Sus scrofa: one gene and its partners. The protein of the gene in region 3 purifies or fractionates together with the protein of the main gene of each other region. This does not show direct contact. Links are inferred from orthologs where the notes say so. Each region holds a gene or a part of one and is shown on either strand. Other genes may lie near its edges. The genes, in order: USP10, EIF3J and EIF4G1.

Region 1 (4,164 bases), on a different chromosome or scaffold from region 3:
ATAAAAAGAAAAAAAGAAAAGAAAAGAAATAGGATATAACCTATACAAATGTTTTAACCATAACAAGCTAATTTTAAAATAGGCCCGCTACTGTTAATTTGTGGTTGTCATCTCCAATCATAAACAGGTACCACGCGGCAGTCTGATGGTGCTGTGCACAGACTGAGTGCTCCATCAACACGCGGCCATTAAGGCTGCAGACCCTCAGACAGCAGGTAACTGAATAAAATAAATTCTTTAAAATATTCAGCCTGACTCAAGCAGGATCCAATCATTCAACCATGTTATCGATGTTTTCACTACTATTCTCTTTTTTTTTTTTTTTTTTTTGTCTTTTTAGGGTTGCACCCGAGTCACATGGAGGTTCCCAGGCCGGGGGTCCAACTGGAGCTGGAGCTGCCGGCCTACACCACAGCCACAGCAATGGGGGATCCAAGCCTCGTGCGACCTACACCACAGCTCAAGGCAACCGGACCCTTAACCAACTGAGGGAAGCCAGGGATCAAACCAGCAACCTCACGGTTCCTAGTTGGATTCGTTTCTGCCTCGCCACGACAGAAACTCCTTCACTACTGTTCTTTCAAAAAGAATTAAGAATAATAAAAAAAAAAAGAAATACAAGAAATTATACTCTTTCCTACTTTCTCCAAGCTAGAATTTAAAAGTATTTAAATCATACTTTAAAAGAATAAACCCAAAGTGTTGCTAACATTTAAGTTTACCTTACTTTGCCACTCAATTTTCGAGAAAGATGTGTACAAGCAATACTGCTGTATAAAACATAAATACCTGGAGTTCCCGTCGTGGCGCAGTAGTTAATGAATCCAACTAGGAACCATGCAGTTGTGGGTTTGATCCCTGGCCTTGCTCAGTGGGTTAAGGATCCAGTGTTGCCATGAGCTGTGAGCCGCAGACTTGGGTCTTATCCCGAGTTGCTGTGGCTGTGGCGCAGGCCGGTGGCTACAGCTCCGATTGGACCCCTAGCCTGGAAACCTCCATAAGCTGCGGGAGCGCCCAAGAAATCACAAAAAACAAACAAACAAACATAAATACCAGGACAATGAAAGCAAAAGAAACTACAATCTAGTTTACAGATTATCTCCATTCATTAACACTTCAATCAATTTTGCACTGCAACTGGTGCTTAACAGAAGTGATGGAGTTCCCTTGTGGCACAGAGGGTTAAGGATCTGGCCTTGTCACTGCAGCAGCTGGGTCACTGCTGTGGCACAGGTTCCATCCCTGTCGGGGGAACTGCCCCGCTGCTTCCAGCGCCATCAAAAAGGAAAAAAAAAGTGCAAGTAAATTCTGCCTAAACACGATTTCCCCATTCTAAAATCACTATGAATATCATATTACCCATTCGTGCATAATGAACCTTTACCTATTTTGCAGCTATTTACTTTAAGAGAAAGGCAAATACCAAATGTCTTAAGGGGAAAAAAAAAAAATCTTCCAATTACACATTTGAAAAACTTATGCAACGAAGCCCTTCTTTTATGCAAAGAACTACTTTAAAAGTTGATGTACAAGTGCAGAAAGTTAAAGGCAGCAAGTTGGAGAGCACACTCAAGTGCCAAAAACTTCACAAAACTGCAGGTTCCTGTAAAATTTAATTTTCTGCAATTTTCCTCACTTTAAATTCCACAACACGCATCAGTTACAAGTTATTAAAATCGACTCCATTTCCAAAGAGGCAACAAAAGCCACTTGCTTATACAGGGTTATGATTTACTGGTCGCCAGCCTTCCAATACTTACTTTGTTTCATGCTCGCGGATTTAATACAAAAGCACAATGAGATAGATGATGGAAACTTCGCAATAACTCCTAGGATTAAAAGTCGACAAATCGGCGGTCTACAGCCAGCCGGACAAGTTAATACCACATGCCCATTTTTACTCAAATTCACTGAATTTCGGGGAGTGGGAGAGGGGGAAAAAAGTTCAACTCAACACACAAGTCTCCCTTTTGAAAGCGGCGTTTTACTCTTTCTTTCCACCACGGGATTATTATAAACAACCCCTAAGCCTGACCCACGGCTCTGACAGGGTGCGTTAGGAGTGTCAGCTTGGCGGAGAGGGATTCGTGCAAAAGAAGTCACTCAAAGGCAAGTCAAAGTGCGGTCCCGGCGAGTTATTTCGAGTTTCTTTGCAACTGTAACCTTAAGCTGCTTCTTAGTGACTTGAATCTAAAAGCCAGAAAACCGACAAGCCCCCCCACCCAGGGGTTGATCAAGCTGCGAAAGCAACCCTGGGGGGCACAGGGGAAATCCGGCCACCCCCAAATCTTGGTGATTCGCTCCGGGCCGAGAAGCGAGCTGAGGGCGTGGAAGGTTCTGCCGCCTCGGGGGCCTCCCGAGGCCCCAGGCTGCCTTTCCGGGCGACGAGGGCCCCGGCTGCACCGCCGGCTCGGCCCGCGGGCCAGCCCCGAGGTTAACCCCTTCGCGCCCCACACGCCCGCTCCAGGCGGGCCCCGGCGCCCCCTCCTCGCCGCTCCCCCAAGGCGGGGGCCCGGCGGGCTCCGGCGCCGGGCCGGCCGGGCTGCCGGCGGCCGAGGCGCGGAGGCGGCGGGAGGCCCGGGGCCTAGTCCCGGGCAGCATGTCCCGGCGCCCTCCCCCACTCCCACACGCTCGCTCGGGCCAGGGTGCGGGCGCCCGCCCACCAGCCCCGGGGCCGGCCCGCCCGCCGCTCGGGACGCCTTCCAGCCGAGAGCGCCGGCCAGCGGCTACCTGCGGGTTGCGGAGGGCCATGGCGGCCCGTTTCAATGAGCCTCGGCGCCCGTCCGAGTCCTCACGCTGCTTCCCCCGCCGCCGCCATCTTCTCGCCCGCACATACACACTCGCATCCGCCGCCGCGCCTGCGCACTGACCGCGCGCCGCGGGGCGCGGGGAGGCGGCGCGCCGGGCGCGCGCTGCGCATGCGCGGCCGACAGGTGGGCGTGCAACGCGGGAACCCGGCCCGGGTGGACTCGGGGCCCGCGCACCTCCGCGGAGGCCGGCGGGTCAGCGGCGGACCGGGAGCTCCGGGGCGGGCCGCGCGGCGGGAAGAGAAAACCCTAGCGGGCAGAGCTGACTACGCCAAAGCGCCCAGTCGGCCTGGGTTGCTCACCTGCCCGGAGGCCACCTGGGTGCTGCGCGGGCGAGGAGGGCCGGAGCCCGAGTGCCGCGGCCGGACCTCGGCCCCCGCCGCCAAAGCCTAGGGCCTCCCTGGGCCCGGGTCCCCGACTTGAGGGCCGAAGACCTCAGAGTAGTCTCGGCTTACGGCGGTCACATCCGTCCATTCATTCACTTATTCACTTTTCGTTCATTACCCAAACACTGAGGTGCCATAGGCATGGGAGAATATATTTAGAGATTTAAAAAAAAAAAAAAAAAAAAGGACGGACACATAAAAGCGCCTATGATTGAGGCCTGACAAATAGTGAGCACTAAGTGTCACCCATCACACACATACGTGCAAGTATCCAGACAGACCAGTTTCGGGTCATTGACTCAAGAAACAGTGACCCCTACCTGACCACGCAGTTTACCGCCACCGGCTTTGACCCTCTCGAGCTGAGTGATTCAGGCGAGTTAATTCCCATTCCTAAACCTTTGGTTTCCTTACCTGTGAGTGAAACTAATTTTTTTTTTTTTTTTTTTTTACGGCCGCATCCACAGCATATGGAGGTTCTCAGTCTAGAGGTCAAATCGGAGCTGTAGCCACAGCCACAGACACAGCCCCGCCAGATGTGAGCTGCATCTGCGACCTACACCACAGCTCACGGCAACGCTGGATCCTTAACCTTCTGATCGAGGCCAGGGATCGAACCTGAGTCCTCACGGATGCTAGTCAGATTCGCTTCCGATGAGCCACAACGGGGAAATCCCAATAAAATTTCTAATTTCATAAGATTTCTGTGACTATCAAATGAGAGTGAGCCCACTGGCCAAGAGATCCAACCCTCAATAACAATTAGCTACTGTGACTCCATTATTGTTCTCATGTGCTCAGGGAATACAGCGGCTAGTCTCCAGACTCCACTGCTAAGCAGAGGAGATCAACAGTAAATCCATTACCAGGTTCCATAAGGCAAGGGGCCTGGTCTTTTCAAAAATAGAATGCCTTGGAGTTCCCACTGTTGCTCAGCAGGTTCACAAACACGACTAGCACCCATGAGGAGG
Region 2 (4,157 bases), on a different chromosome or scaffold from region 3:
CTCCCAAGTGTGGCTGATCAGGAAAAAACTTTGAGTAACTGGGCTGCAGAATATCTTTTGGAAGACCATCTTTATAAAATGTGGTCTATTTGTAGACTCACTGAAAAAGATACATAAGAAATGGGGAACACTGGTTGCCACCAGAAAGAACATAATGGCTGATCATCCTATATACCCATTTGAATGAATGTTGTACCAAGTACGTATGTTACATATTCAAAACTAAGAAATTAAGAAAACAACAAAAACAAAAATATGTTTAACAGCTCACCTTTTAAAATCCTGAAGTGGAGCTCAGTGGCCCAAGCTAGGTGCAGCTTAGCTCATCTTAAACCCTTTAGTATTATAAATTTATCTTTTCAGCTTATCTCTGATTGCGCCATTCAGTCAGAACAGGGACCACAAGCATAAAAGGCACTGAACACATTTCACTTGGTTGGTCTTTAAAACTCTTTATCGGCCTCACTTACCCTCAGGTAGCCTTTCATATATCCTACCTCTCTTCTCTGCGGTTAATGCTATCCTTTTACACTAAACCTCACAATGCCTTTTTGTTGCAGTCATCTCACTGTGTCGAAATTTGTTTATATGTCTATACTTGAGTGAGCGAGGACAAGGCTAGAGCTTACGCTTAGCGCAGATCGAGTTCCGAAATTATTCTGCGAAAAGAATGAATAATGTATTGACTTCAGGGGGCTCACAGGAAGGAAAAATTCTTGAACATGGGGACTCCCTTCCATATCTTCGTGACTACCTGGAGGCAAACGTGCCAGGAGCTGACTGAACACCCTGACTGGGAAGACTGCCAGGAGCTTGGCCCTCTCTATTCGCTTCTTCCTGGCCGCCCCATGCACCACCGGCTTCCAGAGGGATCCCGCCTCGTTCCGCCAGCGACCGCACCCTCCTGGGGTCGGGGAGCCAGGCGACTGCCGCCACAGGCGGGCTCGGCGTTCAGAGCCCACTTCTGAGTGCCGCGTGGAGAGGCTGCGGGTTTCCTTGGGACCAGCCAGAGGCCAAGGGTGGCGATCCATGTGAACAGAAGGAGGGCGCACCCGACCGGTCCGGGCGGGTATGGGTTAGGATGGCAAGGGCAGGAGAGAGCCAAGCACCGGGAAAAGGACTGCCCTGCTAACTTCGCCGCACTTACATTTTTCTCCCCAGGGCGTAGGGTGGCTGCCTCCTAGCCTCTTCCTCTCTCCCCACCCCACTAGCAGACAGGACCACCCTGCTGGGTGCGTGGGGTACTGGACGCTCCGCCTCGCCCACCGCGTTCCACGCCCCCTTCCCGCCCGCGAGAGCATCGCCGCCGCCGCCGCCGCCAGAGGGGGAGGAGCCTGGGCCCCGGCGTTAAGTCAGCCACAGTCCCAGCCTGCCCCGCGCCGGCAAACGAGAGCAGATCCAGTGACTCACTGCCGCGCTAACTCCTCGCTCGCTGTCGCCTCACACACGCTCATACCCGGCGCGAGATGGCGGCGGCGGCGGCGGCAGCAGCGGCGGGGGACTCCGATTCTTGGGGTGAGGAGAAGTTCCGGGGGTAGGCCGGGGCTGGCGCCAGCCCCACGCCCAAGCAAGCTTTAACACAGCTCGCTCTCTTCCGTAGACGCAGACACGTTCTCCGTGGATGACCCAGTGCGGAAGGTGGGGGGCGGCGGCACCGCCGGCGGGGACCGCTGGGAAGGCGAGGACGAGGACGAGGACGTCAAGGTGGGTGCGGGTCGGGGCTCCGGCCAGCGCGGGAGCGAGCTGGCGCCGTCGCGGGCCGGGGTGCTCGCCGAGGGGCGGTCGGTCGGACGGACTCTGGGCCCAGAGGCGCCGCCCCGGCCTGCGGGCTGTGGGTCTAGGCGCAAGCGTAGGGCCTGGTGGTGCCCTGTTCCCCTCGCTCGCCGGCCCTGGGGGCCGGAGGCCGATAGCGTGGTCTCTCGGATTTCCTTGGCGAGGACGCCAGCCCCATCCCTTTGAAGGACCGCACTCCGGCCTGGATCCCACTCGCCAACTGGCGACGGGAGGTGACAGCAGAGGCTGGACCGGCCCACGTGCAAACTTCGCGGTCCGGAGCTGCTCTTCAGTGGTGAGACTGGGAAGTTGAGGATGGAGCCTCTGGCTTATCCCATATGGAAAGTCTTGCACCCCATTGCTTTTTCGAGCTCAGGTTTCCCCAGGCCAGTAACTCATTTACATCCCAAGCTTCATTTGAAGAGTTTGTTCGAGCTGTTAGAGGAGTGAAATATTATGATTTAATTTCAGCCACCTTTTTTTCCCCCCACGCAAATGAAAGAATTTTTAGCTTCCTTTCTCCCACCCTATGGTAAAAGGGTGAACTGAGTATTGAGATAGCTAGCAGTTAGTGGTCAGAAACCTGGGTAGTCCACACAGCGACCTGAAAAATGGAGAGGTTTACAGAGTGAGTTTTTAATAACCTACACACGAAAGCATAAGGAAATAATGAAGATTTGAAGGTTGGAGAAGACGAGGGAGACAGTGATTTTTTGTGTGTTTTTCCTATGCCTTATAGATTTGAACCCAACTTACTCTCGCTGTTTGTTTATGAAAACTCCTGGGGGCTCATCATAAGACTTCAGATGACATTATGACTACTGCGTTTTGTTTTTGTTTTTGTTTTTGTTTTCAAGTATCTACAGAGTCTCAAGGGTGGAATGTTAAGACTTATTAACTAAGTTCTCAAATACTTCATTTTTGTGAAAATCAAGTTTTGTATGATTTGGAAATTTTTTTTATGGTTTTGATTCATTTGGTGAATGTTTACCCTTCAGCTCACTTTGACAACCCTACAAGTCCTTCTGCTTGTGTTGAAAAAAATTTAAGCTAGATAATCACTATGAGCTTCATATTAATATTGCCTTTTTTAGATTGTACCCTTTTCTCCTGAATCTGATGAGGTGGATGTTCAATTCATTGAATTGCCTGAGGTTCAAGTATGATTTGAGTTTTGCAGACCTTGGGATTAATAAATGAGCAATAGTATTGTGAAGATACTTAGATGCTTCATTTACATGTTGTGTAGACATGAGAATGGATTGTGTTAGCCTCATTGCAAGATACTAGTTACCTCCCTACGTGGTGGCAGATTTTCTGTCTTGAACCTTTAGTTCAGATTTATCCTTTTACTTTTTCTGTGCATAGTGGTTGTAGGAGTTAAGACATCTGTTAAGAAAATTAGGAATGAGTGAGAAGAAACAACTAGAGAAATCAGGAAAGAATTACCAAAATACGAAGTTTGAATAAAGTAGTCTGGATTAATATCATGAGGTAGCGTGCCTGAAATTATTTGATATAAATGCCATCAATCCTGATAAATACAGTTCTAGCCACTTGAAATTAATTTTGGACATTTTTAATTGGTGAGGGACCATAAAGATCATCTTGTCCAGTCATTTTTAAGTGCAGAATTTCTTTCTTTTATACAAATAGCGTACTTCTTTTACAGAAACTTTGATGTAGATCTTGGAATAGAAAGCTGAACTTGTTCATTTTATTTCCATGTTGAAATATTGGTTTATTTCTGTTTAGTTTCTCCAAAGATTTCTAAGATAAGGTATCCATGGAGTAGTTTGATTCCTGGAATTTGGAATCAGACAGACCAGAATCTATGCTGTTGTCTTGACATTTTCTATAAAGAATTTTTAAATTTTTTAAGTTTCCCAGTCTTCACAGAAGCTACCTCAGGAAATTATTTTGCATTTTCTATTTTTTGGGGGGTTTTGTTTTTGTTTTTTGCTTTTTTTAGGGCTGCACCTGCTGCATATGGAGGTTCCCAGACCTTTGTTCCCAGACTAGGGTTCTAATCAGAGCTGTAGCTGCGGGCCTACACCACCACAGCCACAGCAACACCAGATCCCAGCCGAGTCTTCGACCTACACCACAGCTCATAGCAATGCCGGACTCTTAACCCACTGAGCGAGGCCAGGGATTGAACCCACAACCTCATGGTTCCTAGTCAGATTCCTTTCCACTGTGCCACTACGGGAACGGGAACTCCTTTTGCATTTTAAATGAGATAATGTGTCAAGCATTAAGCATAGTTACCTGGCACTTGGTAGGCGTTCAATAAATGTTAATTCCGTCTCACTTGAGGATGTAGTCTTAATTTTTCTGGTTAATGGAAAATTTGTTAAGGCTGTGTAGATCTAGTAGCTGAG
Region 3 (4,213 bases):
GAGGCTGCACTGCTCGGGGGCTGGGCCCGGCTAGGGTAGAAGTGCTGTCAGGAGGGAGGAAGGCAGTTGGCAATGGGAAGGGGAGGAGGTGGACAGCAAAAGGGCCATTCCACTATGTCTCTAGTCAGGAGAGAAGTACCAGGGGCTTTGGAGCATGAAGACCAACACTTCCAAGACTCACTTGACCAAGTGATGGCTAAGTGGCCTCTTATACTCACATACGCCCTCCAAACTCAGGTATACACTTGGCACTCTGTATATTTACTCCCTCCCTGCCATGCATACTCAGATCACCTCACCAGGCTATCCTTCAGCAGAGGCTTCCTAACACCCAGATGCATCATGCCTAAGTAAAGCCTTTTTCAGCAACATACTCCCCAGCATGCACTGCTCCACCCTAAGGTACTGAGGAGCTCACCGCTAACATGCAACAGTCTCCCAGTTCCCAGATGTGAACTACACAAGATTTAGCCCCTAACATGCATCGGTCAGCCTCAGACTGAGGACCCAGACTGAGTCTAGCCCCTGACTAGGGCAGAGTGTAAGGGTGAGACCCGGAGAGAGTTCAGGATTAGCAATGGGGTATTACCTGCAGAGACCTGAATCCTCCCTGAGAGCACATGGGGACAGGAAAGAAAAGAATTATCCCCAAGGTGATGAGGAGGGAAAGAAAATGAAGGAAGCAGGACAAGAATCCTCTCCCACTTGTGAGGAAGAATTTAGGGAACAGAGAAAGGCAAGAACTAGCTGGAGTGTTTATCTTGCCACAGTCCAAAAGAGAAAGATGGATGGGGAATGGAGCAATGGCAACCTCCCAGTAAAAGAAAACAGGAAAGCAGGAGTTGGCAGCAGGGCCCAAAGCACTGCCCCCAAGGCACCAGGACCCCTAGGAATGCCATCCCCACCAACTACATACTCCAAGGGGCCAGCCACCGTAAGTAATCAACAGTGCAAAGTGCAGAACCGCATGAAAGCAACTGTCAGGAAGTTGGGGCAGGTACAAGGCCTCCATAGTTTCCATCCTAGGCCCAAACTGGCCTAAGCTTCACATGGTTCCCACCCAGGCCCCCTACTCCCCTCCCCACAGCCCCTCACCTGGCGGGGCTGAGAAGGCGTGTTCATTTGTGTCGCTTGAGGCGTACTGAACACCACCGGTGCTGTCTGCCCCGGGGGAAACGCTGGCTGAAGGGGGGAGACCAGAATTCAGCAAGAGGGGAAACCCAGGTGGGGCAGAAACTCAAGCTGGTGAAGTAAGGGGAGCAGAGCTGTGGCAAGAGCCTCAACAGTCCACATATACCCTCCCCAAGACAGCCCCTAAGAACAGCCCCGGGGCCCTGCCTCAATTTGGCAGCAGGAAGCTGCACTTTGCCCTGACACAGAAGGGGGTGGGAAAATCCAGAGGTTGGAACCTGTTCCTGACCCGGCTGCCTGGTCTCCCCCACCCCCACCCCAGTTGCTGCTAATTCCTCCCTAATTACCTGTGGGAGTCCAGGGGATGGGGCAGGTGGGGGGCCTGTGGGCTGTGGAGCTTTGTTCATTTCATTTGGTGCCACATCAGGGTCCCCCCAGCACCTGTTGGGAAAGAGCGGAGCTCGGAAAGGGGAAGGGACCCAAGCTTAAGGCAAATGGAGTGGGGGAGGGATGAAGCAAGGTCTGGGTCCCACAACAAGCCCCGGAATCGCCAAAAAGGTGAAGGAGCATAAAACCCAGCCTATGTCCCCACCGACACCTTGTCAGACCCGCAGCTCCAACCACCCCCCCTGATCTGCTGAAACAGCCCCTCACTCACCCCCTCGGTTAAGAATAAATCCACGGTGCGGCCTACAGGTTCTGGGCATCCGAGGGCCTGGGGTTGGGAGGTGGGGGGTATCAACCTGGCTCCGCGGGGCCCAAGACCAACCAGACCGGAAATTCCAGGTCTCGCTGGCACCAGGCTCCCGGATCACAAACGGAGCTAGCAGCTTCGGCCGTGGTGTCCCCACCCCCCACCCGGGGACACCGGGTTCGGGGCCTGGCCCAGGGGCACACAAGGCACGCCTGCCGCGGGTGGCCGCGGGTGCACCCGCACGGGGCTAGAGGCGAGGCCTGCCGCCGCCCAGGAGTGGAGGCCAGGAAAAGCGGCAGTCGGGCCGTAAAAGGCCAGGCGGGCGGCGGCCGAAGAAGAGCCGGTTTGAAGCAAGTGAGGGTCGGCCTGGAGGGCGGGCGGGGCCGGGGGCTCCTCCCTGCCCGCCGCCGCCGCCTCCCTCCCCTGCGCCCTCCCTGCGCAGCGCCGGCCAGTGCCAAAGAACAACGTGTCACTTCCCGGCGGCCGGGCCGCAAAGGGGGGAGGGGGCGGCGGGCCGGGAGTCGCGGTGCCTGCGCCCGTAGGGCCTCCTCGGGTCGGGCCGAGGTGGCACTTAGCAGCCGGGAAACCCGGCGCCCTCCCAGCCCGCGGGGACCGCATATTCCGGCCCCGCGCTCCCCCACCCCCACCCAGCAGCCAGGCCGGGCCAGGCCGGGCACACGTGGGCCGGGGATCGGGCCCTGGCGGCCCGGGGCCCGGGCTTGGGCCGAGGAGCCAGGGCGCCGGGGAGGCGGCGCAGGGTAGCCGGTCCCGGCCCGGATGGCGGCGGATGCGGGGGGAGGGGATGGGGGGGCCGGGTCGGGCCCGGACATGGCGGCTTTACCTTCAGTCTCCTTCAGTCCGCGCGGCCGAGCCCCACGCAGCCGCACAGACGTAGTCCACAACCATTTCCGGCTCCCCGCACGGATCCCGCTCGGCGGCCACCGCTTCTCCGCAGGCGCAGCCGGCGCCCCCACGTGACCGGCGCAGAGGGCGGAGCCTTGCCCGGTGCCGCGAAGCACATGGGATTTGCCCCGCCTAGTCATGTGACAGCCACTGCCCGCCCCCGTGTCCCCTCCCGAACTTTGGAATTCCCAGACCGATCCCCCTCTGCGACTCAGTTCCGCGATTCTTTAGTTCATTCATACTTTGAGCAGGCATTTATTGAGTGCATACTGAATGCTAGGCTAAGTGCTGGCAGGGGGCTGAGAATACTGAAATTAAAGACTCAGTCCTGCCGAAGTAAATCATGGTACAAATGCGGAAAGAAACACACGTTAGGCAGCCTTTGAAAGTAATGTAGATTAGATCAATAAAAGACTTATTAAACTGAATGTTTATATGTTTAATAAGGATTGAAACATTCTAACTAGGGAATTAGTAAATTTGTCTCTTTTTTTTTTTTTTTGCCACATCTTCCAGCATATGGAAGTCCCCTGACCTCGGATGGAATCCGTGCCACAGTAGCAGCCCGAGCCGCTGCAGTGACAACGTGGGATCTTTAATAAGGGAACTACTAGATTTGTCTTTTATAAAGAATAAAAATCGGCCATTCCCAGGGAGGAACTAAAAGCAATCACACAAACTTCAAATAGTGGTGGAACAAGTAATCCCAAGACCCCTCCCTGCCCAGTAGCCAAAAGATTTTAAACTGCCTGAAGGGACATACTAGAGTCAAATCTACTTACTCCTAGTCAGCCCCAGAATTTAATCCAAACTCTACTACTTACTTATAGGTTGTAAAATGGAACTATTTGGAGTTTCTGTGTGGCTCAGCTGCATTGGCTGGTGTCACTGCTGTGGCACAGGTTTGATCCCTAGCTTAGAAATTAGAAACTGCAGGAAGCCATGGGCATGACAAAAAAAAAAAGGAAATACTTGAAACTAGGCAGTCTAGCTCAAGTTTGAACTTTTACCCACCATTGTGAGGATTTAAAGGAGTTAATTCCTGTGAAAGTGCTTAAAACAGTGCCTAGGTGCCTAGCAAAGGCTATTTCTTCTCTCTCCTCCACATCTGCCCCCTTCTGTATCCAAACACATATAATCTCACAGGAAAACAATTTCTTTGGCACCAATGATGAACTGGTCACTCTGAATATATGACCCTTGTGATCTCAATCCTTACAACTTCTTACAAAATGGATTGTATCATTATTCCCATTGGATGAGTAACTGATGCTCCAAAGAAAGGAGAGCAGAATAGACACATAGAGGAGGAACCATAGAAAAATGAAAGATCTAGAGTGTTCTCTGTGATGCTCTTCATTTGAGTTCTGTGACTTTATCATGTCTGACTGGCTGGCTCCCTTCTCTGGTCTTCTCATTTCTCTTTCTCCCTAAGCAAACTTATAAATAAAAATCAATTACTGCCTACATGCCAATTCGTTCCCA

Evidence for each region.
Region 1: the proteins of EIF4G1 (region 3) and USP10 purify together in Homo sapiens (affinity purification with mass spectrometry; 4 studies listed by BioGRID, with this or other methods). This does not show direct contact. The link is inferred for Sus scrofa from reciprocal best matches to the Homo sapiens genes EIF4G1 and USP10.
Region 2: the proteins of EIF4G1 (region 3) and EIF3J purify together in Homo sapiens (affinity purification with western blotting; 3 studies listed by BioGRID and IntAct, with this or other methods). This does not show direct contact. The link is inferred for Sus scrofa from reciprocal best matches to the Homo sapiens genes EIF4G1 and EIF3J.

The regions. Positions count from the first base shown.
Region 1 is NC_010448.4:4,040,673-4,044,836, forward strand, and holds the start of USP10 (ubiquitin carboxyl-terminal hydrolase 10), read right to left. Parts: upstream 2,868-4,164; 5' UTR 2,752-2,867; coding exon 2,731-2,751; intron 1-2,730. UniProt on the Homo sapiens protein: Hydrolase that can remove conjugated ubiquitin from target proteins such as p53/TP53, RPS2/us5, RPS3/us3, RPS10/eS10, BECN1, SNX3 and CFTR.
Region 2 is NC_010443.5:127,016,440-127,020,596, reverse strand, and holds the start of EIF3J (eukaryotic translation initiation factor 3 subunit J), read left to right. Parts: upstream 1-1,332; 5' UTR 1,333-1,466; coding exon 1,467-1,515; intron 1,516-1,600; coding exon 1,601-1,704; intron 1,705-4,157. UniProt on the Homo sapiens protein: Component of the eukaryotic translation initiation factor 3 (eIF-3) complex, which is required for several steps in the initiation of protein synthesis.
Region 3 is NC_010455.5:122,202,112-122,206,324, reverse strand, and holds the start of EIF4G1 (eukaryotic translation initiation factor 4 gamma 1), read right to left. Parts: upstream 2,820-4,213; 5' UTR 2,667-2,819; intron 2,215-2,666; exon of another isoform or gene 1,847-2,214; 5' UTR 1,790-1,846; intron 1,573-1,789; 5' UTR 1,539-1,572; coding exon 1,479-1,538; intron 1,243-1,478; exon of another isoform or gene 1,183-1,242; coding exon 1,096-1,182; intron 611-1,095; coding exon of another isoform or gene 590-610; intron 45-589; coding exon 1-44.